Linked DNA regions of Ovis aries. The protein of the gene in region 6 interacts with the protein of the main gene of each other region in a pairwise test. Links are inferred from orthologs where the notes say so. Each region holds a gene or a part of one and is shown on either strand. Other genes may lie near its edges.

Region 1 (4,583 bases), on a different chromosome or scaffold from region 6:
TCTGCATACAGTCAGCTCTCCCAGAATCCCATGCAGGCCACTAATGTCAGTCTCTACCAGCTGGCGAAGAGAGAGTTCAGATTCGTACCTTTTACAGCAAAAGAGATACAGCCAATGCTTACTCTGCTGGACACTGAGAAAAGTGCTGAGCCCTACAGCTGAGGGACACATGACATCAAGGAACCCACATGCCATAATTTCTTCTACATCCAAATCATGAAAAATTCAAGCTTTGTGAGCATTCTTAGCTTGAAAAAATATTATAAAGGGAATCCTTGTGATGTGTGCATGTAGGTATGTGAGAGAAGAAGCGGAAGAGCCTACCATATGTTAAGTTCGAATTCAGATCTGGTCTTACTCTAGCTTGTACTTGCTTCTAAGTCCACAATACAAGCAGCTCATACAGCTCAATATCAGAGAAACAAATAGTCCAGTCAAACAAAATGCGCAGACTTAAACAGACATTTTTCCAAATAAGACATACAAATGGCCAATAAACACATGAAAAGATACTCTACATCTCTCATTATTAGAAAAATGTAAGTCAAAACTACAATGAGGCATCACTTCACACCAATCAGAATGGCTATCATCGAAAAAATGATAAGCAATAAATGCTGGAGAGGATATGCAGAAAACGGAACCTATGGCACTGTTGGTGGGAATATAAATTGGTATGGCTGCTATGGAGAACAGTATGGAGATTCCTTAACAAACTAGGAATAAAGCCCCCATATGACCCAGCAATCCCACTACCAGGTATACACTCTGAGAAAACCACAGTTCAAAAAGACAGATGCACGCCAGTGTTCATGGCAGCACTATTTACTGCGACTAGGACATGGAAGCAACCTTGACTTCCATTGACAGATGAGTGGATAAAGATACATACATTGATACACACATACATAAAGATACATACATGTACATGCATGTATGTAAAGATACATACATACATTGAGATAATACGTACAAATGGAATATTACCCAACCATAAAAAGGAAAAAAATGAGTCAGTTGTAGTGAGATGGATAAACCAATAGCCTATTATACAGAGGGAATCATTAATAAGTCAGAAAGAGAAAAACAAATACTGTATATTAATGCATATATATATATGGAATCTAAAAAAATAGTACTGATGAACCTATTTACAGAGAGGAAATGGAGATGCAGATGTAGAGAATGGTCTGGTGGACACAGCAAGGGGAAGGAAAGGGTAGGACAAGCTGAGAAAGTGACTTTGACATATACGTACTATCATGGGGAAAATAAATAGCTCATGGGAAGCTGCTGTATAACACAGGGAGCCCAGCCTTGTGCTCTGCGGTGACCTAGAGGGGTGGAATTGAGGCAAGAGAGGCTCAAGATAAAGGGGATATATATATATATTATATATATTATATATATATATAATTATGATTGGTTCATGTTGACATATGGCAGAGACTACCACAAGATTGTAAAGCAATTTCTTGCAAGGAAAAAAAAGTTCAAATTAAACTTACTTTGACCTAAAGTCATCAGCAGCCAGTTTGCAGTTGTCAAGCTGTACAGCAAGTCTACAATTTTCTGCCTTCGTACACAAGATCTGGGAAGAAAGTTACTATGTCATGAATGGTTCTTTGAAAGAAACCCACATATCTACTCATTTAATAACTATGCCAGGGTTTATCTTTTAAAAGTCTTTATAAGAAAATATAGGCCTTCAGCCTGCTTTTACTGACCATATCATTTCATGAAGGAAAAAGGAGGGCCAATTTATAAACAAAATAGAGAAATAAAAAGGTTGTTGTTTTTTTTTTAATGACTTAAAAACATTTTTGCAGTATTCCTTGGCCACTGAACTTAGGTAGATTTCTCTCTAGGAGTTTATATTATGACTACATCTCCACCCATGATAATAAAAATTTATCAGTAAGAAAAAGACATAATTACCAGGTAAAATTATATGGTTAAAAGATGACATTTCCATATCTATGTTAAATAATGTACTTGTACAGTGTTACACGCAGAAATAATTTTAGATATCACACTGCTTTTCCTCAAGGTAAATTTAGGGATAAGCGGGTTTATTGTGGTCATTTAGTAATTAGCGGCAGCATACAGGCTAGCGCTGATGTTTACTGACTTTTTCCCCCTCTATTCTTTTGGGCCATGCCGCATGGCACGTGGGGTCTTAGTCCCCCACCAGGGATGGAACCTAAGCCCGCTGCAGTGGAAGCACAGTGTCTGAACCATTGGACCACCGGTCACCCTGTTTGCTGGCTTTTTGTCCAGTACCCTTGCCTCTACATCACATTCCCCCTGGGAAGCCCCTCCCCTTTCCCTGGTTTCCCTCCACAGAACAGACTCTTGTAGTAGTAGAAACATAAAGCACATCACAGAGTGGGAAGGTGGAACATTAGGGTGATGGGATACTAGACCTTTTGCTGGAGATCTTCAATGGTGTCGAAGTAACACTGATAATCAGGGCACACCAACGGGACATCCTCTTCACTCTGTTCCCGGATCCTGCATTCCAACTCAGCATTCAACTCCTCCAGCCCGCGCACCTTCTCCAGATAGCTGGCGAGCCTGTCATTCAGGAACTGCATCGTCTCCTTCTCGTTACTGTTGAATGCACCGTCCTCACACCAGGCACAGTTCCCCAGCACGCCCGGAATATTACAGCTCCCCGCAAAGCAGGACGGTGGGAGGCACCCAGTTGGCAGACGAGACCCGGATAGAAAGCTGGGGGTCTGGCAGCTGGATGTAGCACAGGCGCTGGGGAGACAAGTGGTTGCCGCGGAACAGGTTGAGGCAAGCGCACAATCAGAAGCCCTGGCACTGGATTCAGAAGAGCAGCCCGTGGGGGAACAGTCAGAAGCCATTCTATCAGAAGTGAAGGGCAAAGACTAGTTGCAAAACTCCAACTGCCCGCCTCCAAAACTCTCATTCCCTCCCGAGACTTTTATATATACCCCACTTCAAATGGGTATTTACAGACTACACAGGATGTTTTCCGGTGCATTTTTCATATGAACATTCATTAGTGTTGTTTATTTGCTGAAGAAGAGTTTTATGCTTCGTAAAAGAGCCATAACTTCAGGTTTCTAAATAAAGACACCATCTCCATGTGCCAATAGGATAAAGCACTTGTTTCAGAAAATCTTCACAGGAAGCATTGTCCTTTTGACAGAATAAGGAAAGAAAGAGAAAATTTGGGCAATCAGTAATTATAGATACAACTGATTACACATAAAGGAAATCATATCCCTACAGATTTTGATCCTGTGCATTGAAAACTGCTCGTCTTCTTTTGAAATTAATGTTACAACTCATTTAAATGCTATTTATTTGTTTGTGCCCCCACCATAAAAGTGTTCTGTGTGATTAGCCATCTTCAATGCTTTTTGTGGTCTTGCTGTGCTCACATGGTGGAGGACTGAGTGTATACTGAATTTGAAGTGTGTGTGTGAGAACCATACATGCCCATGTGCAAACTGAAAAGTCACTTTACATAACTGATGGGCATCACTTTTGCCCTACATGCCAAAATATAAATTGGTTATCAAAACGTGGAGTTGTAATCTTTGATTTCCTGAAACTTGCCTTCTCTACTTTTCCTATGCTTCACTTTTATATCAGAGATACTGATTTTTCATCTGTATCTCTAATAAGAATGAAATATGAATTCTGTTATAATTTTTTAGTCTCAGGAAGCTAAACCTTCGTTAACTACACTTCAGTATAGAAGGAAGAAAGTTACAAAAGGCATTTCTTCTGGGACATGGAAGCTGTTTTCTCAGATTTACTAATTTATTTAATTTTGAAGGCCTCAATTTCATGAAAATTAAATATGCTGGAACTTGGGAATAAAAGTCTTTTGTATGAGTTCCAGCAATTCCATTGGATGAACTCCCTGGGGCAGTACTGAATGGATAGGGATCTGAGATGTAAGTTTTCTGGGTTCTTTCTTAAGTTTTATCTCCAATTTTCAGTTTTCTTGCCTTTGATTGTGGTATTTATTTCATTTTAAAAAGTGTACAGAGAAAATTGTCTGCAGAATGTTAAAGATCTTTATGGGGTGGGTAGCCCATTACTCCGACAAAGTTAAAATTTTCATGATCCAGAATAAACAATTATTTTTTAACTCTGAGTACTTCTTCCTTAAATAGCTGATAATGGGAAAACAACCAACCAACCAAAACCAAACCTGGAGACTTAAGATAGAGGATTAAAATAGTCTCTTAGAATTTATTATTCATTGAGCAAAGTTGGTTTTGATTTTAGTAATTCTCCTTATATTTCAACACTATGCTAAGAGTTCTTAATTGTATAGAAATTAGACATCCTTTTACTCTTTGATACCCTCTTTTTAATGTGGGTTTTCCCCTCATTAAAAAAATATATTCTATTGATCTTTGTTAATTCAGCAGTTTGACTATGATATATCTAAATGGTGTGTGTGTGTGTGTGTGTGTGTGTGTGTGTGTGTGTGTGTGTTTAGGTTGTATTTATCCTGTTTGAGATTCTTGAATTTGTGATTTACTGAAATATATCACTAAATTTGGAAAATTTTCAGCTTCCCCTCCCCCAAT
Region 2 (4,441 bases), on a different chromosome or scaffold from region 6:
CATGGCTGCAGTCACCATCTGCAGTGATATTGGAGCCCCCCAAAATAAAGTCTGACACTGTTTCCCCATCTATTTCCCATGAAGTGATGGGACCGGATGGGACTGGATTTTCTGAATGTTGAGCTTTAAGCCAACTTTTTCGCTCTCCTCTTTCACTTTCATCAAGAGGCTTTTTAGCTCCTCTTCACTTTCTGCCATAAGGGTGGTGTCATCTGCATATCTCACAAGGTCAAGTTAGTGAAATCTGGCATTACTGTAACTGGGAAATGTCCTGCTCTGGGAAAACTCCAGATGATTGCCTGGGACTGTTTTTCCTCCTATTTGGAGTTTGCCAGGGAGAAAATTATAAATGAAGGATGACACCTCAGTTCCACCTAGAGAGAGCCCCAGCTTCCCTCTACTCTTTGTGTGCAATTCAAGGTCTATACCCAAGGGTAGGGTGACTTACTACTGGATAATGTTGAGTAAGACAGGATACTAACTGAAGTCAGTTAAATTCCCAGCCCCACTTCTGCAGAGAGCAGCACTCCCTGATACTTTGGAGTCTTGCTCAAATAAACAAGGTCTTTTGTTCTAGAGTTTGTCTCCCCTTCCCTCCCCGAAAATAAGGCCTGCAGCCTTATTTTAAGTGAAACTTGAAAGAGGGTTTGCTGGCGGCAGTCTACTCTCAGGTGTCTACATTCTTGAAAAAGCTCATTTTGTCCGGCATCTTCAAACTCTTGGTAAACCATTCGTGTGGTTTTTGTTGGACTCTTTCTCAGGTGACTGCTTTGTGCCGCCTCTCAATTTACGCTCTAAAAAAAAAGGCAAATCATCCTGGTAAACTCAACCCCAGCATGGTGAGGGAAGAAACACTTGTCCTCTTTTCTGAGTACTCCCAACAGTCCAGAGGGAGGTTGAACTGAGCCTCCTAAAATTCCCGCCTCCCCGGCCGCGGGTGAAGCCCTAGGGCCTTTTACTCCAGGAACAGGAGTGAGAAGGGAGAGGAGGTGGGGCCGGAGAGAGGCAGCGCGCAGCGGTACCCAGTGGTGCTGCGAGACTGCTCCCTCCAGAGTACGTGGCAGTCCCCGTGGACAGAAGGGGAGGGGATTCGGCTTTCTCCTCCCCGTGCAGAGCCTCGGACAGTCCTCCCGGGCGGGAGGGAGGAACCGCAAGGGGACTGGTGCGCTTTTGGAGTGAAATTTTAGCAGATAAAAGTGGCCTGGCAGCGGTCGGCCTCCGTCCCGCTCTTCCACCTGGGTAACCACAGCAGGTCGAGCCTGCGCTGTACCGCGAGGAGCATTGACTTGTTCGGGAGCGAGGTGACGCGCTGGCCACCCCGCATGCGCAGAGCGAGGAGCCGGCCTCCTGGACTACAGCTCCCAGAGGAGTTTGCCGGCGGCTGCAGGCGTCGAGCCGCCGGCGCCATCTTGAAATCTGATCCTCAATCTCTGAGTCTTTGCGTCAGCCGCGGGCGGCAGCCGGAGGACCGCGAACTCAGCCCGCTGAAAAGGGAGGACATTGAGGACACAGCGGCTGGCGGGAGAGACAGCTGGAGGAGACATGGCAGGTTCTGAGCGCGGCCTGCGCTGCTGTCACTCAGCATCCTCCTGAGGCATTTCCTCGCCCGCCGCCTCCCCGAGGGGCGGGGCTGATCACTCTGGTACCCAGAACCCGCGCGCGGGTGTCAGCGGAGCGCCCCTGCAGAGTGGGCACCCCACCAAGCTGTGCCATGCCAGCCGGAGGCCACCGAGGCGGGAGACGGAACGCAACCAAGCGCCAGTGAGCGATCACCGAGCAGCAGCCGCCTCCGGGAAGCTCGGCCACCGCAGGAGGGAAGATGAAGGAGATTTGCAGGATCTGTGCCCGGGAGCTGTGCGGAAACCAGCGGCGCTGGATCTTCCACACGGCGTCCAAGCTCAACCTCCAGGTTCTGTTGTCGCACGTCCTGGGCAAGGATGTCTCCCGCGATGGCAAAGCTGAGTTTGCTTGCAGCAAGTGCGCGTTCATGCTCGATCGGATCTATAGATTCGACACCGTCATTGCCCGGATCGAAGCCCTTTCTATTGAGCGCTTGCAGAAGCTGCTGCTGGAGAAGGACCGCCTCAAGTTCTGCATTGCTAGCATGTATCGGAAGAATAACGATGACCCTGGCTCAGAGACCAAGGCGGGGAATGGAACGGTTGACATTTCCAGCTTACCCGATGTCAGATACTCTGCACTGCTCCAGGAAGACTTTGCCTATTCAGGGTTCGAGTGTTGGGTAGAAAATGAGGATCAGATTCAGGAGCACAGCTGTCATGCTTCGGAAGGCCCCGGAAATCGACCCAGGAGGTGCCGAGGCTGTGCAGCTTTGCGGGTGGCTGATTCTGACTACGAAGCCATTTGTAAGGTACCTCGAAAGGTGGCGAAAAGTATTTCTTGTGGCCCCTCTACCAGATGGTCCACCAGCATTTGCACTGAAGAACCAGCGTTGTCCGAGGTTGGGCCACCAGATTTACCAAATGCGAAGGTACCTCCAGATGGAGAAAGCATGGAGGAAGGGACCCCGGGATCCTCTGTGGAATCTTTGGATGCAAGTATCCAGGCTAGTCCTCCACAACCAAAGGATGAGGAACCTGAGAGAAGTGCAAAGGAACTTGTAAAGTGTGACTGCTGTTCAGATGAACAGGCTCCCCAGCATACGTGTAACCATAAGCTGGAGCTAGCTCTTAGCATGATTAAAGGTCTTGATTATAAGCCCATCCAGAGCCCCCGAGGGAGCAAGCTTCCTATTCCAGTGAAATCCAATCCATCTGGAACCAGGCCTGGCCATATCATGACAGATGGAGTTAGTTCTGGTTTCCTTAACAGGTCTTTGAAACCCCTTTACAGGACACCTGTGAGTTATCCCTTGGAGATTTCAGACCTGCAGGAGCTGTGGGATGATCTCTGTGAAGATTATCTGCCACTTCGGGTCCAGGTATACAAAATGGCTGCATATTGCCTTTCTGATTAAAGTTAGCTGGCTTCAGGCTTCACATGATTTCTATCTAGGGGAAGGTTAATAGTCTAGACTTGGTAACCCATTTTTGCTTTACCTTTTGCTTCTGTCCATTTTAATAAATGTGATTCACACAAGTAATTTGCTTTCCACAATAGCCTCTTTATAAGATTATCTGTTGGCTTTCCCACTAATTATCAAAATTGTACATGTTTAAGACAAAGATTCATAATTCATTTTTACCCTAAAAAAATTTTAATCTTATTTCTGGCACTGGAACTCTTTCCTCTCACTTGTCCTACCGCCTCTCTACTTTTGTCTGTTTTGTTTTCACTTTTAGATTTATGAATATTTTCTTCTCTGAGGGAGGGAGTTCTCAAGTTAGTCCGCCCTAGAGCATTAAGCCATTCATCCCCACCTGTGCCTTGAACTGATTAGAGCATAGGGTAAAGGTTTGAGGAGAACCTATTAATCCACCAAAATATTGTAATATGTGGACAACATTTATAAATTAAGAGGTCATTTGAGGACTAATGATGACTTTTTCATAAAAGAGACTTGGGAATTCAGAATTTAAAATGTTAAGGCAAAACGTGTCTACAGCCAGTTTGTATAATGAGCTCTATGTGAAGATGTTTGGTGTTGAGCAGGACTTCATCCATTATTGGGTGATAGAGTTTTACCTGTTTTACTCGTGAATTTCGTAATGACTGGAAGATGGCAGTTGATCTTACTTTGAGCTGTTCATACCAATCTTTTAAATTCAGTTGTGTACAGGGGCCTGACAGATGCTGTCTTGTTTATACAGCAGCAGTAGTTTCAGTTAATGTTGTGAAACATCTGGCATGTTCTACTTGATATAGATTCTTTAGTGATACCGTTACAGAGGTGGACAATCTAGAAGGTGTTTCTGGAAAGCTTGCTAACCAGTCAACATCATCCCAGAATCTTAGAGCTTCTAAATGAAATTGTTGATTGTCACTTGACAGCTTTGAAAAACAGTTCTATTATGTATAAAATTTGCATCACAGTAAGAATATGGGAGAAATATTTTTGAATTTGCACTAACTTGTCAGAAACAGCATTGTTAGGGAAAAGTATGAGTATCCAAAAGTTTAAACTGTGTTTTCATTTCTATAAAATGTTTAGGATGCCCAACACTTGTGTACTTTCCTTTCGCTCCCTTTTCTTTCATTGACCTTCACAGCTAAATTTGAGCTTTCCAGTACAGTATTTCTGTGAGCCAACATAGATGTCACAGATTCATCGTAGTGTTTCTGTATTAGGATCTAAAAGTAGTTGGACAGAGTGGATGGGAAATATGACCAATATAGTAGAAATATAGCCCCCTTCAAATATGGCCAATATTGAAGAAAGGTGAAGACTTAAAAAACTGCAGTAAAGCAAAAGTTTTTTTCCTCCCTATTAAATTTAAAATACTCTGTTGGTGCCTGGGCTCAGCAAATTTTGAATTGAGAA
Region 3 (4,677 bases), on a different chromosome or scaffold from region 6:
TATTTGATGGGGGGGGGGGGGTCCTGCTTCCTGGAAGCAAGGCTGCCTTTTCAAGCATTCCTTATCAACCTAAGAGGGAGGTCTGGAACCCTGTGGAATGGTTTGGGGTCTCTGGTCTGTTGTGTGTGAGAACTGTGACTACAATTGTTTCCTGAAACAGACCCTGGAACAAAGCTGTTCTCTAGGGGGAGGGAAGGGGGACCTCCTCCAGGGCCTCCCTTCTTGGGGGTCTCTCCCAGACTGGCTGGAGCCAGTCCTCCTAATCCTGCAGTAATCATTCCCAGCCGCTGGCTGGTCTAGGCCTCATCCAGGGTCTATAACGTTAAACGTCAGCCATGCCTTCCAGATGCACACTACCAGGTCAGTCCTACCTGTAAGGATGTGGGTTCCACATTCTGGTCTTCTGTGCTCAGGAAATCTTTCAGGGATTTCCAAAAGGAGACTTTTATGAGGTCTATGAATTGGGGATAGAGGGATAGATACACACTTGCCTGTCTTGCCCCACCCTTCTAGCAGACAGCCTACACAGCAAACCAGAATGGTAGGGAGGAGGGGAAGCTAATGATCCCCCAGCCCCACCCCTACACACACACACACATTCCATTACACACCTGTCTTAAACCCCTCACGTGAAAATTAGCCCAAAGTATTTCAAGAGCCCCTGGAGCCCAAAAAGTAGCAGTTAATCCCTGGGTCCTATGTAAGGTCCCTAGGAGTCACTGTTTCTATACCCCACCTAAGAGGATTGAGGCAAACTGCCTGGGCTAGAACCAGTACTCGGCCTGTGCCCAACTGGAATCTTCCTGAGAGCTGAGGGAGAGCCTGGCCCAGTAGAATCCAGCTGGATCTGCAGGCTTGTCCTCAGATTCTCTAACCCCCTTGCCTGTAAGGGGGCAGCTTTGGTCCTCCATCCCTTCACTGGGGATGGGTCTCAGAAGAGACTCAACTCAAAGGGCTCCTGCTGCCCAAGTACTCAGGCTGCAGATATGACCCAAATACCTGTAGACATCACGGTCTGCCCTCCCACAGGCTGCCTTGGGTGCCATGGAGGGAGGGACCCTTTGGTGCAATACAGGTCAACTTCCTGTTTGTGCCTGTGGGTGGAACTTTATAAGTCTAAGAGAAGCCTGACTACACTCTGGTGGGGGGCGGGGGGCAAAACTGGCAAGCCTGCTCACCGGGCAGACACCTACTCCAGGGGAGGGGGAGGTGTTGGTTCTGCTTGAGCAGCCCCAACCTCAGAGGTGTGTGAGGAAGGGTGGGGTCTGTTTCGGTGAAATCCGAGCCTTCTTCGTCTGCTTCCCAGGGGTTTTCCCTGTGTCTGGGGAGTGGGCTGAGAGTGGACCAGGCTGGGCTCCCTACAGACCAGAGGATAGTGGCAGTAAAGCCCTATAGCCAACTTGGTTAGGGCAGCCAGGTAGCTTAGCTTAGCTGTGGCGCCGCTGGCCCCTTCCTAGATCGAAAGCCAGTTCCAGAAGCTGCGAAGTCAGAAGTCCGAGGGGCAGTCTTGGGCCACCGTCGCAACACTGCTTGGCAGGGTACCAGATCTGCTGCTGAGGGGGTGCTGGGCAGACCACTCCCCTGCCTTGGTCGGGGGCGCGGCCTCAGCCGCCCCGCCCCCTCCACCAAGCCCGGGCCGAGCGCGCTGGGGAGCCGGCGGATCTGCGACCAGGAGGTGCCGGCCCTGGGTCAGGAGCCCAGCGGGAGCTGGAACGGCGGTTAAGGTAGCGCTGGGTGAGTGAGTGGGGGCGCCGCGGCGGTGTAGGAACTCTCGCCTCCTGCACACCCCCGCCCCGGAGTGAAATTTCCCGATCCCGGGAAGCCGGGGATTGGGGTGAAGAGACGGGTCCTCAGTCCAGGGGCCGCGGGCGAAGAGTCTGAACAGGGAACCTACACGAAAACTCACACCGACGGGCGCACACACGCGTGCACACAGACCCACGCGCGTACTGGAGACACCTGAATACACGTGCACTGCGGGGCGGACGCGCCTAGTGAGTTTCGCTTGCTGTTGGCGGATCAGCGCCGCTGGCCCGCGCGGACCCCCAGCGGGCAGGGTGTGCTGCCGTCGCGTACTTGGTGAGGGTGGGAGAAAAGGGCCTCCCAGTGACCGCGGACGGGGGCGGGCCAGGTGGGACGCCTCCGGAGGTTCCGGCTTCCTTGCTGCCCGCAGGTGAAGACTAAGACGTAAACAGGCGTTGAGCACGTGATCGCTTCGCAGACCCGTGGGCTGTACGGGGGGAGCCTCGCGGCGGGAACCTCCCTCCGCAGTACTAAGCGAGTTTGAAAGATACATTGCCGGGCTGTATTCCATTCTCCCCTTGGAGGGGATAAGCCCTTCCCCAGGAATGGGAGCACAACGCCCCCCGGAGTTGGGGTAGCGAAGGAGGACAACAGACTGTTGGACTGAGAGGGTTGGTTACCTGGGCTCCTCACCTTCCTTCTCCGGAACATGTTGCCCCCATTCCTGAAGATACCCGAGAGGGGGGCAATTCTGGCAGTGTACAGCAGCCTCCGCCGGGACCTCCAGCCCCGGGGAGCATCTGCGCGAACGCCTGTGGGTCCCCTTTCTTACTACACTCCTCCTTGCGGCACTGGGAGCTCCTCCCCTCAAAGTAGGAGCAGAAAGCCCACTCACGCAAGAGTAGGAGTCCCCCTTCCCCAGAGAATGCATGACCGTACACATCCTCTCTATACCAGAGTGGGCCCGTCTCCCTCTGGTAGAAGGGAGCACGGCCCCCTCCCCCCAGCGAATGAGAGTGGGCAGCGGCCCTCGGCCTCCCTCTCCACCACCCTCCCTACCCCTCCACACACGCTGAGCCCAGCTGCTGCCTGAGCTTCTGGGCAGGCTGCCAGAAAGGGGAGGAGGCTCCTGGTGCCCCAGGAGGCTGGGATCAGGGCAAGGCCAGAAGAGGGGGTCTCTATGGGGGTGGGGCTCAGTCTGTACTTGTGAGGCAAGAGGGTCTAGGGTGAGCCTGAGGGTGGCTGGGCTATGTTTCCCTTTCCAGGGAAAAAGAAAGAAAACAACTCTTTCCATGGAGCTAAAAATAGAACTGAGAGCCGGCCAGGCTGCGGCCTGGAAGGGGGGGGCGGGGCGGGGGGAATGCTCCTTCCTGGGGCAGAGGAGCTCTGGCAGGCCTTAGTTCTGGGGGGCGGGGTTAGGGGGCAGGAGGCTGTCCTTGCCCAGGGATGCGGGCATCAGCTGACCTGGTTAGGTCACAGAAACCCCTATGGGAAAGTCTGTGTGATAAAATGTTTGTGAAATACGACGTGTATGTTTAAAAAGTTGTCTTTGTGACTGTGAAAAAGACTGTCATAGTGTGAAAAAAGCTTGGGAGGCAAGTATAGTCAAGACTGTGACTGGGTGCAAAGGAACTTGAGCTGTGAAAGCTTGTGCACAACTAGCCGTGATACCAAGTGTGTATCTCTGAGTTGGCCTGATTATGGCAAGAAGGGACATGGATCCTTCTGATGGACCAGACAGACTGAGTGATTGTGTCTGAGACTGAGTGTGGGAAAGGTCGTGTGGGTGTTTAGATTGTGTTGTTTGCCAGAGGGTGAGAGTATTCTTGACCCTGAGAAGACAGTGGAACGTTGTCTGCTGTGAGGCTGGCGTAAGCTTGGCCTGTAGGTTTGGACCAGCTCCCCCACTGGGGTGACTTTTGGGGGCCCAGGGGACGTCTCTCTCTTGAGCATTTACCTCTTAGCAAATGAGTCTGAGGGAAGGTTGGGGAGCAAAGAACCGCGCTCGAGGAAGGCCGGGGCTCTCCCGAGAGGGAGTACAGCACTGGGGAGAAGGGTAGGGGCCCCCCAAGTTTGGGGGTGGCTGTGTTCTCCGAACGGGCCGCCAGGTGGCGCCGCCTCCGCAAATCCTAGCGTGCCTTCTGCAAGCGGCTGGGGGTGGGGCAGGCACCCACCAAGCGTCGGCCCCCGACTTGTGCCAGGACGCAGGGCCAAGACTTGGGGGTTAGGTGACCCCCAACCTCCTTCTCTGGACTCTGAAGCCGGAGAGTGTGCCTAGGGGTGAGGCATCGACTAGAGGAGCGGAGGGGGAAGGGCGGCTGCCGCGGCGCCTGGCCCTTTGTGCTCGAACAATGACCAGCTGCCGCTGGCCCCGGGGCCCAAGTAAGGGTAAAGGGTGACCCGCCACCGCCTAGTCCTGAACCGACCGAGCCCCAGACACACAGCCATCGCTCCTCGGAGGGAGGGAATCTGAGTCCTGCTGCGTAGCTCCAGCGTGCGCCCCGCCGGACACGCGTGACGCCGGGTGCCTGCGCGTGTCCGCGCCCCGGGGGCGGGGTCACCCCTCGGACCCTCCCCCGCGCTGCACCGCCCACTTGGGCCGGGCGGGGGCCAGGCCGGGCTGGGGGCGCCGCGGAGGCGGGGCCGGGTCGGACCGGGCCGCTCCGAGTGGCGGCGCGCGGCAGGCTGGAGCCGCGCGGCGCGCCTGTGGAGCGCTGGGGGCGGCCCGGGGCTGAGCATGGAGCGGCGCGGTGGAGGTGAGGGGGGGGCCGGGGCTGGGAGGCGACCTGGGGGCGCCCCCAACTTCTGCGCGGCGGAGGTCCCGTGGGGAGGCGGCATTCCACAGCTGCCCCCACTTTCTGGAAGAGGCGGAAGGAGGGGGGTGAACTCCGGAGGGCGGATTGGGGGCTCCCGGCTTCCTGTCTTGTAATGGAA
Region 4 (4,686 bases), on a different chromosome or scaffold from region 6:
CATTTTCTGAAATTCGGTTTACCAAATTGGTCTTCTTTGTTTCCTCATTTAACACAGTATGGGGTGGGGAGCGTCTAATTCATCGATGACAATCTATTCAAAATGTGAGGGCTTTTCTCTTTTCTTTTACCCTTTGACTATAATCCACTTAGTCCTCATCCCCAAAGCCCTCCCAAATAGTGGCGGGGTGTGGGGGGAGCGCTCTGAGACGCCCTTGCTCAGATACTTAGCAGAACTCTGTTCTCCACATGGGCTATTTAGGAGAGTCGCTGTCTCCTCGCGTGACTCCACTGCCTCCTGGGTTCTTCTCTCGCTGCGAACAGGAGTCAGGGTGATGAGATAGTCTCCCCTGCGGTCCGGGGAGGCGCTGGCCATGGTCCTGACCTCAAGCTCGGGACTTGAGCGCCGAGGGCGCCCAGGAGAGGCGCTGGGAGAGTGCGCAGGGCGCGGCGGGGAGCGGCCGTCGAGGCCCCCGCCCTTCCCGACCCCGGGGGAGCCCGCTGGCCTCCGCGCGAACCCTCCACTGCATGCTCGGAGCTGCATCAAAAAGGGTGGGGCATCCAGCCACGGCTGCAATCGGAAGCCACCCGGGAGGATTGAAGAAGAATGGAAACCCGGCCCGTCCCCTCCCCCTCCAACTATGCTACCCCCTCCCCAGTAGGGGATAGGCCCATCCTTTACCCCCCATCCTCCACCTCCCAGGCCCAGGGAGGCGCGGGCAGCCTTTGTGGACGCACGGCCGCCCACCACCGAGCCCGAGCACAGAGAGGGGTCGGGCAGGGTGGGGTGTGTGTGCACCTGCAAGAAGCGATATTCGAGGCGGGGCAGGACTGTGGGTTACGCTGGGATCCTCGGTTCTCCGCCGAGCTGGAAGGGGGCGAGGGAGGGGCGATCCCCACGCCCTATTCTCGGTCTCCAACACCGCTCCCCCGACCACCACCCATACCAACCTGGTCGTTGATGTTCTGCAGAGCTTCCTTGCCCGAGGCCCGCCGAATCTCCACCTTCCTGCTCGATTCAACAGATGGCTCCCCGCCGGCGCGCCGGCCCTGCCGGGAGTAGGGCGTCTGCGGGTCGGGGCCCAAGTGTGCGACGTCCCGCTGCTGGGCCACCACCTGCCCCGAGCCCCGGCCCACCGTCAACGAGTCGAAGTCGATGGTCTTGTTCTCCGAGGACCCCTCCACCGGGCAGAACATGCCACAGAATTTCTGCCGAGGCTTGGGGCTGCCTGAGCCCAGGTTTTTAAAAAAGGCAGGGACCTCTTCGTCCTCTGCCGCCTTCCCGGATTGCTTCCTCTCAGCCATGGTGTGGGGGCTCGGGGAGGGTCCTTGCCGTTCGTCCGTCCGTCTGCCAGTCCCTACGTCTGCCTGTCTCTAGGCACAAACCCCTTGCCCCGGCTGCAGCCGCGGCTGCCGCTCTCTGCCTACCGCAAGGTGTACAAAAAGGAAGGAGGGCTGGCGAGCGAGCGACCCACCCCTCACGGTCCCTCCCCCTGACCCCGCTTTCTTCCCTCCCTGCCCACGCCCCCCGCCAGCTCCCGCGAGCAGCAAAGTTGGGTCTGGGCGGGTGGCCGCTGCGGCAGCGAGAGCGGAGAGGCTGCCAGTTCCCGGCAGCTGCGGGAGGAGCGAGGCGCGGGCGGGGCGGAGGCGGGGCGCGGCGCGCCGGGGAGGGGAGCGAGGAGCCGGGGAGGCCAGGGAGGGCCTCGCTCCGGAAGTGAAGCTGCCAGACCACCGGCTAATGGATGCGCAGCGGAGGGCCCGCTGACCGCTCTGGGCGCCACGGTGAGTACCCGGCAGGGCACGCGGGGACAAAGATCGTAGGGCGCAGTCCCTGGTCCCCGCGCCCCTCTCCCGGACCTGCCCGGCCCAGGCGCCTCTTCCTCACCGCATTGCGGAGGTGGGCCCACGACGAGTGCCCACCGTGGGGAGGGCTCCCTCCCCCTGCCCCGGGTGTGAGCTGATGGGTGGGGAAAGTGGCACACGCTGGCGGGCGCCAGGACACCCATGGTGGAGGGGCGGGGGAGAGGAGGGGCGGCACTGGGGTTGGAGAAGAGATGGCGCAGGCCGCGCGGAAGAGAGGGGACCGTGAGAGGCGCGAGGACACTAGAGCTTCGGTCTAACCACCGGCCGTGGTGGAACACTGGGAGCAGAAATTGAAACGTGATTCTCACTTACTGCTCCCACAGTGGTGGTGGTGGGGCGCATCGTGGCAGGGAGAGATACAGAGGGCGTAGCAAATACGAAGTGGGTGGGTGTAGAGACAGGAAATAGATCTACAGTCTGTGCAAGTGTAGCAAGGCGAGGAGTTGGCAGGTACAGCCCAGCGCGGCAACTTAAGGGTATAGTGAGAGGGGATGCGGGTGCGCGGTATTGGCCGAGGGCGACGTGTACCGTCGCTGCGCCACTGCGCCAAGAGGGGTCCGGCAGAAGGTCTTCATTTGATATCTTCCGCCCCTCCCTCCCGCCAAAGGGGGAAAGATACACATGGAAGCCCACCCCGCCAAATCTCCAGCCCTACTGGCGCCCCGCCTCATTCCACAGCCCCTGTAGCGCACTGCGCCAGAGCCGCGGGGTTTCCTAGGCTGCCAGAAGCCGCGTGCCTGGGCGCTAGTGCGCGCGCGTCCAGTGCAGGATCAGCATGTGGGGCGCGGCTGTGATGGTTGCCTTGAATTGTGTGAGGCCAAGCAGCGGAAAGGTGTATGGGGACGTGGTGTGTATGCACGGGTAGATCAGCCTCAGCCATGGGATTAGTGGGCATCCAGGGGGCATTTTGATGTAACGCCAGTACATCAGGCCAGTAACACGGCCTCCCAGGACCGTTCATTGCTTACTGCTATTCCCCGTGTCTTTTCCACGTCTCAGTCCCTACCCAGGGTTGATTACAGCCCCGCCCCTCTCTCCACAGTGGCAAAACCCTGCAGAAATGATGCCCATCCTTTGGCAGCTCGAGAAGGAGCTCTGGGCATGCTCAGTGATCAGGGCGGGTTTAGACTGGGAAACTGTTAACCACAGGAGCGTCGTGCCCGGCTGAGCAACCAAAGATTCGGTCCCATTGTCAGCCCTTGCCCTTGGAAGGACTAAATGCGGATACCCAACCCTCCTCCACAATTGCCAGGGAAAGGTGAATGGAGTTAAACTTAGAGGACAACCAATCCCAGCTGGAAGATAAGCCCACCATGATAGGATGAGAAGGAAGGACAGAGGAACATACCTGTGCAGGGGATGAGAGAAGCAGAGGCGGGGCGTTTGGACCTGGCACCAGATGTGCTTTGCATCTGAATAAAGTGCCTCCACACGAATTAAATTTCCTACTCCTAGCAGACCCCTGGGATGAGTGCTTCCTTATCACCACTTTCCAGGGTAGGAAACAGAGTTAGATGCTTTGCCCAAGGTGACTATATAAATGATCCAACAAATCCAGTGGGGTCTTCCACCTGAAAGTCTAGTTCCTTTTCCACTTTATCCTATCTTTATGTGAGATTTTCACATTTTTCCCCCTATCCAAATATTTCCAATCTTGGTCTTATCCTGAAGCACCCAGGTGGCTCAGACCGTAAAGAATCAGCCTGCAATGCAAGAGACCCAGGTTCCATCCCTGGGTGGGGAAGATCCCCTGGAGAAGGAAATGGCAACCCATTCCAGTATTCTTGCCTCAGAAATCCCATGGACAGAGGAGCCTGGAGGGCTATAATCCATGAAGTCACAAAGAGTGGGACATGACTAGTGACTAACACTTTCACTGGCCTTATGGTGTACCAGGGGCATTTCATTTGCCGTCTTTCTATCTGGAAGGCTGCACTGAAGGTTGAGATAGCCTTTGGAGGAAGAAGCCACTCAAAGATAGCCTAACTTGAGTGGGACAGTTATGTAAGAACTTAAGAGGTGTTTCTTCCTGTGTATGCAATGTCTTTTGACATCTCTTGTTTCCTCTAAATATTATAACCGGGAAGGTCACCCCCATATCTTAGAAGAGGGTCATGAGGCATGAGGGAGGAGTCAATGTACTCAGATCCCTGGGGCTGCTGGGCAAGGACTCTCCAGCATTTTGCCCTCCCTGCCCTCTGGCACACGCACCTCCTTTCAGCACCTTCCAGAACTCAGGAAATGTGCCTGCAGCAGGAGCAGCTCCCCCGCTTTAGCTGCAAGTTGGTATCTGTGGCATATGGACCCCATTTGGACTGATGGAGAATTTTAGGGCAAGAATGATCGTAGCCACTTAATACTCCATGACAACTCGAGATAGAAGCTCTTCCCTTTTAAAATCAGCCAGTCTCCACCGCTTCTTCACAGATGTGCCTCCTGTCTTTTTCTTTGCTTTTCAAATGACCCATTCAATTTCAGATACTAGGAAGAAAGCATTGTGTTACTAACTTAACATTTATAGCAAAAGAAAACCCCTAGTTGTGCATTTGCAAAGCATAACCAGGCATAACCAAAGAGAATTAATTTATAACTTCAAGTTTATTTGGCTCTGAGTTTTTTGTAGATTGTAAAACCTATATTAAGTTGTATCTATGTTATTATGTTAAAGCATATTATAAAGCATATTTAGCAAGTTATATTGCTAAACCCGTATTAAGTTGATTTTAAATGTTTGAATGATTCTAATTGAATTTTTAATCAAAGGAATGAAGTAACTCAATATTGTGAAGGATTTGAGGGGGGGTATTTTTTTTTTGGCTGCATG
Region 5 (2,630 bases), on a different chromosome or scaffold from region 6:
TCTGCTAGACTACGATAATGGCTCCATCGCTTTCTATGATGCCTTGAACTCCATCCACCTCTACACTTTCGACATCACATTCTCGCAGCCCGTGTGCCCCACCTTCACTGTGTGGAACAAATGTCTGACCATCATAACAGGCCTTCCCATCCCTGACCATCTAGACTGTACAGAGCAGCTGCCCTGAGCACGTGGAGCTGGTTTCTGGGGGATATAAAGGGTGGTGGCCACCATTTTGGGGACTGAGAAAGCACAGACTTCCAAAATGTGGTTAAATCTCACAACAAGCATCCAGAAATCAGCTAAGATAGGATTCCCAATGGGTGATTCCCCCCTTTCACTGTGTTTTGTATTAAGTACAGGCTTTAATAATTTCTTCACCCTGTTTTTGTATTTACAGGAAAATTTATAGATTATTTATAATAGGAACATAACCGGGGATTACAACTCTTAGGAATTCTCTGGTTTTGCACATTAGGAGGCCCGTAAGTTTTATCAGTTCTTGACAACCTTTATTTTCAGCACAAGTCTCTGAGCTTGAGAAACAAGATCTTTTGTAGTTTGTGTTTCTCCACCTTCTCACATCCTCTTTCCTACAGATCTCATGGCAGGTCCTGTCACACCAACACTGTGTAACAATATGCCACTATTTTCAAACTAAAAAAAAAAATAGTTTTGAACCTAGTAGGGAAGTCAGCAGGCTTTCTGACTGGTTTCTTGTGAAGCATTCTGCAATGTCAGAAGGATTTATGGATCAAGTAGCATGGAGAGAGCAACAGACAGGAGGGAAAGACTTGACTTGGGAGCCGGGGATCTGCTAATGCAAAACCCGTAATTACCCTTCCATGGCTGGTAGGATGATGCTGGGAGAACATGAACAATGAGATTGCAATTGAAAAAATTCACCTTGAATCCTACTGATGATTCAAAAATTCAGGCCGATTTGTGTTTTCTCGGAAGTGGGATTCTGTGTCACGATAGAAATCTATTTCCTTCTTCCTTTTACTAATTTCTTTAGGCCTGTGAAGTTTCTCCAGTATGTTTACTAGCTGTCCTGTGTCCCACTCCCCCTGAATAATTTTTGTCACTGGGGCTGAGGAAATAAACGTTTTCTGTCACAAATGGCAGCACCGCTTTGGATCAGTTTTGCTCTCTAGGACATCAACATATGGCCCCAACCGCCAATACCACATCCAACCAAAAACCATTAGTATTTATGAGTTGGTAATGACAAGGGACATTGCATAAAGTACTCTTCTCTAGTATATGTGCTTCAGAAGTTATAATAAACAGACCTTTAAACACATCTCGAAAGATGTAGAAGTCCCTCTATATTCTAGTATAGTTAAATAGAGTTGTAAGAAAACAAACAAACAAACAAAAAACAAAAAAAAAAATCAAACTCTCTATTCTCACTTTGGAACCTGCTAGTAGAACCTGCTAATATCATGTCAGATACAATGCTCAGTGTGCTGACCTAAGACATTGGAGTGGTCCATGACATAAGGCTTTTTTGCCTTCCCTGGTGGCTCAGTGGTAAAGACTCCATCTGCAGTGCAGAAGACCCAGGTTCGATCCCTGGGTCAGGAAGATTCCCTGGAGAAGGGAATGGCAACCCATTCCAGTATTCTCGCCTAGAGAATCCCATGGACAGAGGAGCCTAGCGGGCTACAGTCCATGGTGTCACGACTGATACTTTCACACTAAGCCATCCTTGGACGCGAACCAGGAATCTGGCAGTGGTTCTACCTTGATGAAGGGCATGACATCTCTCAACCATTTCATTTGCTAAAATATTTATCTGGGCTGCTGGGGTGGCCGTTTTGACAGACTGGGGGATTTAGACACTGTTTTTATTGGTTTTGTTTTTGAGCAAATCAACCAATTGTTTCAGCATCGCATTATGTGATCGTGAGTCTGGGTTTCAGGGGCAGCTTCCCCAGGGCTTCTGCCTCTACACTGGCAGATGCATTCCTTTTTCTTAACAGATAGATTCTATATATTTACTATATTATTTATACCCAGATGAATATTTTGATAGTGACTTAGAACAATTTCACATCTAAAAGATGGATGTCTCAATGGAAAAAAAATTAATCTCTGCCAACTTAATGGAATTTTTTCTTTTTACAATAGAAAAACAATGTTCATTAGGCTTCCCTGAATAAACCAAAAGGGTTGGCTTAATAATTTTTACAAACTTTTTTGGTAGCTAAATAATGGATATTTTCATGCACTTTGTACACTAACAGGTTTTAAATAAAAGGGTCTAAAACTCAGCTTCTGAGATTTTTTAAATCATGGTCTCCAGGTACAATAAATGCTCCAGTTTGCCTTATGATGTTAATCTAAAGCATTTATGAGGACAATATTGCCACGAATTATAATGCTTTTTCAGTTTAAAGAAGTTACTACTCCAGTTTTCACTGCAAGCCATTTAGGTTATGTTTTGGCTATTTTTATAAGGACAAGGGATTATGTTATCATTTTGTTGTGGAAGTCTCACTCTTTGCTAACTTAAAAACATTGTGGATTGTAGCGATTACTATTTCCATGTTGTCATATTTACTGGAAAATATGTATATGATGAAAGGCCACAGTGTTTACTTTCATTACTGTAATGATGTAGA
Region 6 (4,553 bases):
AAGAAAGGGAATTAAAAGAAGACATTAATAAATAATATTTCAAGTGCTACATGGCTATTTAAAAATCTTAAGTAGAATCATATGTGGCTGAATGTTGGGGGACACTGCATTACTTTATGATCAACCAAAATCGGCTAAATGAAGCTATAGAGTCCTACTGTTATTAAAACTGTCTCTAATCTCCATCAGAAAAAGTACTAACAAGTAATGATGATGATGTGCCTCATTTTGAAATATAAGAGAATCCCTAAGGTGATGCTACTGGGGTCAGAAGTCCTAGAAGCCTGAAAAAGTTGCGAAGCATCCCAAGAGAGAGCCCTTTCCCTGCTTGCCTTCTGCCCTGAGAGAACAGGTACTTCCAGGGTTTCACGCCTCTTTGCAGCATGCTTTTTTTTTTTTTTGGTTGCGCCACAAGGCATACAGGATCTAATTCCCCAATCAGGGATTGAACCCATGCCCCTTGAAGTAGAAGGTGCCTCCTGCAGTGGAAGCGTGGAATGTTAACCACTGGACTGTCATGAAAGACCCTAGCAAACTTTTCATTCCCATTCTTCGCACCCTTCTTACACTACAGGACTTTGAAGGAGGCTCATGATGCCAGCTTCAGGAAGCAAATGTGCAGTCACTGACAAATCTGCAAGACCTGGGCTACCAGGAATTCCCACAGGCTCTTACATGAGAAGCCTAGAGCCATTGCCTTCAGATAACCTGGCCTCTAAGCCCTCTCTGGGAGAGATGCTCAAGATATATATATTTTAAAGCTCTGAAATCTAGCATTTTGGAACTAAATGACTCGAAGAGAATTAAGCCCATACCTTTCCCTGCCACACTGACTTATAACGTGTTAAAATAAGTCCATAAAAACTAAACCAACCAGGTAATTAAACAGAATAGGAAACAGACCCTGAAGAGGTGATGTGCCTGTAATTCCTATCTCCTAATTCCCAACAGCTCCTTTTTTCCCTCCAGACTCAAGATCTTACAAAGGCCAAACTAGAACCAGACACATGCTGATCTAACTGCATTTAGTGGCTGTAAGGAGGGGCAGGCAAAAACCTAAAAAAGATACTATCTCCTTGTTGCCTATCCCCTACCCATCCAAGCCCTGCCTGCAGACGGGTCCGAGTCCCGACATACTACTTTCAACCCTAAAGTTCTACCCCAGGCTTCACGGTCAAGAAATTGTATCAAGAAAAAAGGAAGGAGGTACACGATCATTAACGGGTTCTTAAACCCTTTTTCCTGCCGCCTTCCAGGAAGAAGGGGCGAATCTCCGAGGAAAGGGGCCTGCAGATTCTGCAGCCCTCGCGGTGGCCCCCTCACTTACACAATCCGAGGACATTTTGCTCATCTTCCGGGGGACTGTGGACCCTGGTCGGGATCCTCCTCCCGGGTATATTCGAGGCTCCAGGGGCCTTCAAGTCCCCAAACCCCGCCCCACAAAGTCCTCTGAAGTCCTACCAAGTCACTCCCATGGTGTCGTGCCAGGAAGATGGGAGGATCAAACAAGTGAAATGCGCTGTGCTCCAGCAGCCCACAAGAGGAGAAACCACCTCGCTAAAGCGAGCTCCAATGGAGGCAGGCGCTCCGGAACTTACGTAAAAACACAGCGTCCAGTCGACACGCCCACGAGGAAGGGCGTGTCTGGGTCCTTCGGTGAGGTCACTGCCCGACTCCGCCCCGCCCCCGATCCCCTGGTTCGCCGGTCAGGGAATTCCCATTCGCCTGGGCACCCTGGACCCAGATCCATGAAACTAGGAAAGTGTATCTCGGACTACAACCACTTAGAGAAGACAACGTTAAATTCGGGAGGACCCAGCTCCAGGACCCGTGAGCTCTTTTTGGGGGGGGGGGGGGGTGGGACGGGGCTTCTGGCACACCCGGCCTCCAGACGCGAGGGGGCGCTGTGAGCTCCGGTGGGCTCTCGGGCGCTGGGTGTTTACCGCGCAAGCGCACTCGGGGCCTTTTTTTCCTCCATACCCACGTGGGAAACTTCACGGCTTGGTTTTCTAGAAAAATGCCCAAGTTCAAGGCGGCCCGCTCGGCCGGGGGTCAGGAGAAGCATGCGCCGCTGGCCGAGCAGATCCTGGCTGGTGACGCGGTGCGGGCAGGAGCCCGAGAAAAACGGCGGGGTCGCGGAACCGGAGACGAGGAGGAAGAGTACGTGGGGCCCCGGCTGACCCGACGGATTTTGCAGCAAGCGCGGCAGCAGCAAGAGGAGCTCGAGGCCGAGCATGGGAGCGGGGACAGGCCCGCGGTGCCGCGGGAGCGCACCACGCGGCTGGGTGAGTGGGGGGGATGGGGTACGAGGAGGAGGGTGGGTAGCTGGGGCGGACGGCTGAAAGGTGTCTGGCAGGGGAATAACTTGGAATTAAAAAACAACAACAACAAAAAACTGAGGCCCTTGGCAAAGGTAATGGGGTTGGGAGACCCAGCTCTGGGGCAGATTGAGGGTTGCCGGAGCCCTCCACGCCCATTCCTTAGAGTGGCACTCTTATAGGCATCACCGAGGTTAGGCCAGCAGGAAGTGGTTACTCACGCCGCTAAGTTCTCCTGGCATTTATTTACGTGTTTTGTAAGTAATCATGGAATGTCTACTACGCACATCCCGCCGTGCTAGGAGTTTAGATGGTTTAGATAAAAAACTGTAAACAGGGTAAAGGTATACCTAACGTCAGGATCTTCCAGTGTAGCCCGAGAGAAAGAATTAAGTAAGCAATTAGAATAATGCACTCGTGATAAAGTATAGCTTCTCTGACAATAGCATTAGTCTTGGGAGTCAGGTTTCCCAGGTTGCATGACCGTTGTGCTGAGAACTGAAAAGTAGGGAGTGCTCTGAGCACAAAGAACAATATTGTTTCAGGACTAGAAAGGGAGCGAGATTATTTAAAAGATGGTCATTTTTCTCGTTATTACTCTGAGAGTGTTGACCTCCAAGTTGCTTAATCCATTTCTCAACACTCATCTTTCATTTGTCTGTGAGCAGCATTCACAAACGGAGAAGGCAATGACAGCCCACTCCAGTACTCTTGCCTGGAAAATCCCATGGACGGAGGAGCCTGGTGGGCTGCAGTCCATGGGGTCTCTAAGAGTCGGACACGGCTGAGCGACTTCACTTTCACTTTTCACTTTCATGCATTGGACAAGCAAATGGCAACCCAGTCCAGTGTTTTTGCCTGGAGAATCCCAGGGGTGGGGGAGCCTGGTGGGCTGCCGTCTGTGGGGTCGCACAGAGTCAGACACGACTGAAGCGACTTAGCAGCAGCAGCGTTCACAAACACTAGCCTCCTTGCTACAGTATCTTTACTCCGCTTCTAAGACATCACATCCCTGTTTTGCTAGTTTTTCACCTCAGTGGGCTTCCCAGGTGGTGGAACCCACCTGCCAATGCAAGAGATGTTGGTTCAATCCCTGAGCCAGGAAGATCCCCTGGAGAAGGAAATGGCAACCCACTCCAGTATTCTTACCTGGAGAATCCCATGGACAGGGGAGCCTGACAGGCTATAGTCAGGAAAAGTCCACAGGGTCACAAAGAGTCAGACACGACTGAGTACACGCACACACCTCTCAGTATCCTTTGCTGGCTCCTATTCTCCCGCTTCCGACGCCTGCTGGTGGGATCTCAGTTCCCCTACCAGGGGTTGAACCCTGAGCCCCAGCAGTGAAAGCCCAGAATCCTTACACTAGGCCACCAGGGAGCTCCCTTTGCTGACTTCTCGTTTGTTGCCAGCCTCTTCCTGTAGTGCCACAGCATTACATCCTTGGAGCTAGTCTCTTCACCTCTGATGACTTCCCTGGTGCTGTCATCAGGGTTGAGGTTTAAATACTGTCTGTTTGGTAACTGCTTCCAAGTTCATATTCCAGCCTCGATCTCTTCCATGAAACCCAAAGTCTTATATTTCAGCTCTCTCTTTAGCTTCTCCAATTTGAAGTCTAAGAAACATCTCAGATTTAGCATGTCCAGAACAGAAATCCTGACCATCTTGCCAAACCTGCTCCACTCCCAGTCTGCTTCATCTCAATTAATGACATGATGTCCTTCCATTTGCTCCAGGCAGAAAACTCTAGACTTGTCTCTTTCTCGCTCCATATCCAATCAATTAGGAAGTCCTGTTGACTCTGCCTTAAAAATATATCCAGAATCAGATCAGTTGGCACCATCTTGGAACACCATCCTGTTCAAACCACAGTGATCTCTCACCTGGGTGACTGCAGTAGCCTCTTACCGAGAATCCCGTATCTGCCACAGTCTACTCTCCACTCAGCAACTCAGGATTGCCTGATCTACAGAGACCTATATGATCTGTACCTGTTGTCAGTCTGACCTCTCCTGCTCCTTTCCCTTTGCCCTCTTCTCTCCATCCGGGTCAAACCAGCTAGTTCTAAAAGAGATCAGTCCTGAATATTCACTGGAAGGACTGGTGCTGAAGCTGAAGCTCCAGTACTTTGGCCACCTGATGCGAAGAGCTGACTCATTGGAAAAGACTGATGCTGGGAAAGATTGAATGCAGGAGGAGAAGGGGACGAGAGAGGATGAGATGGTTGGATGGTGT
Region 7 (4,360 bases), on a different chromosome or scaffold from region 6:
TATGGCAGAAAGTGAAGAGGAGCTAAAAGCCTCTTGAAAGTGAAAGAGGAGAGTGAAAAAGTTGGCTTAAAGCTCAACATTTCAGAAAATGAAGATCATGGCATCTGGTCCCATCATTTCATGGGAAATAGATGGGAAACAGTGTCAGACTTTATTTTTGGGCTCCAAAATCACTGCAGATGGTGACTGCAGCCATGAAATTAAAAGATGCTTACTCCTTGGAGGAAAAGTTATGACCAACCTAGACAGCATATTAAAAAGCAGACATTACTTTGCAGACAAAGCTGTCTAGTCTAGCCAAAGCTTTGGTTTTTCCAGTAGTCATGTATGGATGTGTGAGTTGGACCATAAAGAAAGCTGAGCACCAAACAACTGATGCTTTAAACTGTGGTATTGGTGAAGACTCTTGAGTGTTTCTTGGACTGCAAAGAGATCAAACCAGTCCATCCTAATGGAAATCCGTCCTGAATATTCACTGGAAGGACTGATGCTGAAGTTGAAACTTCAATACTTTGGCCACCTGATGTGAAGAACTGACTCATGTGAAAACACCCTGATGCTGGGAATGAGTGAAGGCAGGAGGAGAAAAGGATGACAGAGAATGAGATGGTTGGATGGCATCACCGACTCCATGGACATGAGTTTGAGTAAGCTCTGGGAGTTGGTGATGGACAGGGAAGCCTGGTGTGCTGCAGTTCATGGGGTCGCAAAGAGTACACGGCTGAGGGACTGAACTGAGGCTCCTCCGTTGCTTTGCGTCCCACCCAAAAAGGGAACCTGAAATGTCGGGGACCCAGGAGAGGGGCCACCTTTCTTTTGTGTAGTTTATTTGTGTGCTCTGTTTGTCTTGTTTACGGCGAGGAATAGTCAGGAAATACAACTGTCAATGGGGATGCTAGATCCGTGGCTTCTGTTCTCAGCAGAGGGCGATATAAAAGCAAGTTCGCCCATAAACAGCGACCCCCTCTCGCGCCTCATCTCACACAAGCGTCCACGAGTCCCTTCCCCAGCTGATTTATTTGCGGACAGAAGAGCCCCGCCCTCCCGTGAGTGGAAACAGCCCCACCCACCAATAGCTTCTCGCGATCCTTGAGCCGGCGTGAACTTTGCGTAGTTTCCGGTCGTGATCCTTCAGCCTTTCGGCGATTGGTCCGTTTCCACGGCCTGCTGAGTGATTTCCAGCCGGTTCCTGGAGCCGCACGTGTGGAGTGGAGTTAAAGACTGGGCGGTGAGCTGATTCTCAGAGGCGTTCGGGAGGTACCGTGTCACCGTCCGTCCGACTAGGAGAGTGCTGTCGTCCCTGTTTGGCGTGAGCGCCGCGCGGCTGCAAGCATGGTAAGTAGGAGTTGGGGCGCCCTGGTTTGGCAGAGGCCAGGCTGGGTCCCCTAAGCCAATGGCTTCTGCATCCTGGAACTGGGATGACACGTCCGAAGGTAAAGGCAGGCGGCTTTGGGCCCATGGTCCCGGTTTGGGTCACCCTCACCACCGCGGGCATAGTTTGCAGTTTAGAGCGGGGCTTCTACGGCCTAGCGTGCCTGTGGAGTAGACAGAAGAGGATGGCCTACGCTTTACCCTCCTAGAGGCCTAAGAACCTATAACAGAGCACACAGATGCGACACCCATGCTTCGTGACGTCAGGCGGAGAGGGGCTTGCTCGTGTCTCCAGACGTTGCAGTGGCAGGTGTCCGCTCGTCTGTCTACTCTGGGGAAGACGAGCTCCCAAGATTGGGCCTACTCAGCTGGAAGGATCTTTCAGTCTATAAACTCGAGGTTGAGCAGTGAAACGAGAAGGTAGAACGATGGTGAATCCTGTATTTCAACTTCGGCTGTTGTGTCATGGTTTTAATAGTTGGTACAGGAAGTGTTTCTCCTGCTTGTAACTCTTCCTCAGATTTTCCTGTAGTGGACTCCCATTCTGGTTCAGACTCTCAGGGACCTCCTCTGAGCCCCTACTTTAAAGTAACTGATGAGTCGTTACCCATTCCTGTGTCTCGTTTTGCTTGCCTTCACCTGAAACCCGGTTCTTGGTGATTTGCCTGTGGAGAACAGGAACTTTAACTTTCCCATCGCCATATTCCCAGCACTGGTAACTAGGTTTGGCACGGAGTACCTCCCCCAAAAAGGTTTATTGAAGGAAGGTAGTTTTTTCTTTTTTTTTTTTTTAACATAGTTGATGTTTCCTGCCCTGAAAGTGCAAGTTTTGACAGTCTGTTGATCCTTCCCATAACTTATTGAAGATGCCTGTGGGGGGTATAATCACTGTTTTTTGTTGTTGTTCTGATTTATTACTGTGATTCTGTTTCTTTGAAGCCTCATAGGAAGAAAAAACCCTTTATAGAGAAGAAGAAAGCTGTGTCTTTTCACCTGGTCCACAGGAGCCAAAGAGATCCTTTAGCAGCAGATGAGACTGCACCCCAGAGGGTTCTGTTGCCTACACAGAAGGTAGGTCCTCTTCTATAGCCAGTAAGTTTGTAGGTGGATTGTTGATTGTTTTTAATTATATTAGTCAGCTGCTGTTCTCAGATAACTGATCTTCTGGGAAACAAAATATGTGATTTAATTCTCAGTAAATATGTTCATTTTTACATCATGCATGTTTATTTTGTTGAGAGAATATTTTTATTGGAGATGTTTAAGTGAGCACTCTTGTAGAGTAATGGAAGATATTTACTAATCCATCAGCAACAATGCTTTATGGTGTTATTTAGGGCACAACCATATGCTCAGTCTTTGCTTTCCATGAGATATTGGCATTTCATAACCACAAACTGTATTTTTGCCTCCTGGTCATCTCATGAAATATAAAACTCATGAGTTAGCTTTAGAAAATGCAAGGGAGCTTTTAAGAGGTCGATTTGGTAATTATCAGTCAGAGTATACTTGTTAAGTGTGGGTAATGTGGAAGGAAGTATTGGGGAACCCAGGCATATTCAGCTTTGTTGTAAAGCCAATTGGTGTTATGCCTTGAGAAGTTTCTTTGCATATAAATTCAGGAAATTGTACTTACCTTTCAGTGCGCCCTAGTCTTTTAATTCTCCACATAACCTGGTAAAATAGTGTGTGTGTGTTTCTTGGCTTGAATTGTTGTACAGAAGTGTCTAATGGAAGGAGGAACTATTTTCATTCCATTTTAATTTTATGTGGCATCCTGTGTTTCCTGAGTTTGTCAAGAAGTCTTTGTCTCATTCCTATCAGCTAGAGTGTTCATGGGTCATCTGCCCCCTGTTCTGAAAGTTGTGCTCATTGGAAGTTTCCTGGGTTTTATCCTTGGAACAGTTACTATGTCCGTTTTGTTTATTACCCTAGATAAAAGATGAAGAAAGGCGAGCAGAGCAGAGGAAGTATGGAGTGTTCTTTGACGATGACTATGACTACCTGCAGCACCTGAAGGAACCATCTGGCCCCTCGGAGCTCATTCCCACAAGTACCTTCGGTGCACCTTACAGGGGAGATAGGAGAGAAGAGCCTTTAGTAACTTCAGTAAGACTTTTTAGCAATTTGAGTGTGAGTGTGTGTGAAGGGCCGTGAGTGAGTAAACCATCACTTTTAAATCAAGGTAACTGTTTGAGGCAAGAATTGGTGTCAGCTAGAGAACTGAATCTGCGCTCAATAGTTGGTGCTCATGGGCTCTAAGCATGGGCGTAGCTGATCCCGTGGCAGGTGGGATCTTCCAGACCTGGACTCAAACCCATGTCCTCTGCATTGGCAGGCAGATTCTTACCCACTGTACTACCAGGGAAGTCCTTCTTTTTAGTTTAGTATGAGTGTACAGTAAATTTTCCTGTGAAACTTTTATATCACTTTTGGCACTTAAAAAAAAAAAAAAGAGGAATATATTGGGCTTACAGACAGAAAGGAGAGATACAGAGAGCGTCAATTTCCCCTACTTCTCATCGCGAGTCCTGCCATGGTCTAGACTTTTTCCTTGGGGAAGATGTGATCATAAGCTCCTCCAGTCCCTACTTGTTGCTTAAGAAAAGTCAAAACGGTTAGGCGTCAGCATGTTATACCAAAGAGTTATTAATAATAACTGTTCACCTGATCATTCACTCACTAGGTTGTAGCTCTCTTGGGAGGCCACATACCCCATTACCACATCTTTACCAGAACCTATTTCTCTACACCTTCCCCAAGCCTGTTATATCCGGAGTAGGATATGTATCTTATTGACTCATTTCCTTCCAATGACCCATTAAAGGAGGGAAAGTGGCTCAGTTTCTTTATCCTAAGTAATAAACGTTTTCAGTTTAGTTCAGTCGCTCAGTCATGTCCAACTCTTTGCAACCCCATGAATCGCAGCACGCCAGGCCCCCCTGTCCATTACCAACTCCTGGAGTTTACCCAAACTCATGTCCATTGA

The links.
Region 1: the proteins of BYSL (region 6) and KRT40 interact in binary tests that used the Homo sapiens proteins (3 or more experiments, as listed by UniProt). The two-hybrid records come from large-scale screens. The link is inferred for Ovis aries from reciprocal best matches to the Homo sapiens genes BYSL and KRT40.
Region 2: the proteins of BYSL (region 6) and PDE4DIP interact in binary tests that used the Homo sapiens proteins (3 or more experiments, as listed by UniProt). The two-hybrid records come from large-scale screens. The link is inferred for Ovis aries from reciprocal best matches to the Homo sapiens genes BYSL and PDE4DIP.
Region 3: the proteins of BYSL (region 6) and LZTS2 interact in binary tests that used the Homo sapiens proteins (3 or more experiments, as listed by UniProt). The two-hybrid records come from large-scale screens. The link is inferred for Ovis aries from reciprocal best matches to the Homo sapiens genes BYSL and LZTS2.
Region 4: the proteins of BYSL (region 6) and PNMA2 interact in binary tests that used the Homo sapiens proteins (3 or more experiments, as listed by UniProt). The two-hybrid records come from large-scale screens. The link is inferred for Ovis aries from reciprocal best matches to the Homo sapiens genes BYSL and PNMA2.
Region 5: the proteins of BYSL (region 6) and MID1 interact in binary tests that used the Homo sapiens proteins (3 or more experiments, as listed by UniProt). The two-hybrid records come from large-scale screens. The link is inferred for Ovis aries from reciprocal best matches to the Homo sapiens genes BYSL and MID1.
Region 7: the proteins of BYSL (region 6) and LTV1 interact in binary tests that used the Homo sapiens proteins (3 or more experiments, as listed by UniProt). The two-hybrid records come from large-scale screens. The link is inferred for Ovis aries from reciprocal best matches to the Homo sapiens genes BYSL and LTV1.

What each region holds. Positions count from the first base shown.
Region 1 is NC_056064.1:40,929,690-40,934,272, forward strand, and holds the start of KRT40 (keratin, type I cytoskeletal 40), read right to left. Parts: upstream 2,876-4,583; 5' UTR 2,874-2,875; coding exon 2,427-2,873; intron 1,592-2,426; coding exon 1,509-1,591; intron 89-1,508; coding exon 1-88. UniProt on the Homo sapiens protein: May play a role in late hair differentiation.
Region 2 is NC_056054.1:97,759,418-97,763,858, forward strand, and holds the start of PDE4DIP (myomegalin), read left to right. Parts: upstream 1-1,425; 5' UTR 1,426-1,819; coding exon 1,820-2,941; intron 2,942-4,441. UniProt on the Homo sapiens protein: Functions as an anchor sequestering components of the cAMP-dependent pathway to Golgi and/or centrosomes.
Region 3 is NC_056075.1:21,595,161-21,599,837, forward strand, and holds the start of LZTS2 (leucine zipper putative tumor suppressor 2), read left to right. Parts: upstream 1-1,624; 5' UTR 1,625-1,724; exon of another isoform or gene 1,725-1,994; intron 1,995-2,217; exon of another isoform or gene 2,218-4,023; intron 4,024-4,398; exon of another isoform or gene 4,399-4,499; intron 4,500-4,587; exon of another isoform or gene 4,588-4,677. UniProt on the Homo sapiens protein: Negative regulator of katanin-mediated microtubule severing and release from the centrosome. Required for central spindle formation and the completion of cytokinesis.
Region 4 is NC_056055.1:39,169,777-39,174,462, forward strand, and holds the start of PNMA2 (paraneoplastic antigen Ma2), read left to right. Parts: upstream 1-1,721; 5' UTR 1,722-1,781; intron 1,782-4,686. Other genes in the region: DPYSL2 (dihydropyrimidinase-related protein 2), read right to left, coding at 951-1,304.
Region 5 is NC_056080.1:8,464,939-8,467,568, reverse strand, and holds part of MID1 (E3 ubiquitin-protein ligase Midline-1), read left to right. Parts: coding exon 1-187; 3' UTR 188-2,630. UniProt on the Homo sapiens protein: Has E3 ubiquitin ligase activity towards IGBP1, promoting its monoubiquitination, which results in deprotection of the catalytic subunit of protein phosphatase PP2A, and its subsequent degradation by polyubiquitination.
Region 6 is NC_056073.1:15,720,815-15,725,367, forward strand, and holds the start of BYSL (bystin), read left to right. Parts: upstream 1-1,671; 5' UTR 1,672-1,830; intron 1,831-2,013; 5' UTR 2,014-2,017; coding exon 2,018-2,285; intron 2,286-4,553. Other genes in the region: MED20 (mediator of RNA polymerase II transcription subunit 20), read right to left, coding at 1,462-1,475. UniProt on the Homo sapiens protein: Required for processing of 20S pre-rRNA precursor and biogenesis of 40S ribosomal subunits. May be required for trophinin-dependent regulation of cell adhesion during implantation of human embryos.
Region 7 is NC_056061.1:68,485,896-68,490,255, forward strand, and holds the start of LTV1 (protein LTV1 homolog), read left to right. Parts: upstream 1-1,169; 5' UTR 1,170-1,332; coding exon 1,333-1,335; intron 1,336-2,310; coding exon 2,311-2,442; intron 2,443-3,306; coding exon 3,307-3,480; intron 3,481-4,360. UniProt on the Homo sapiens protein: Essential for ribosome biogenesis.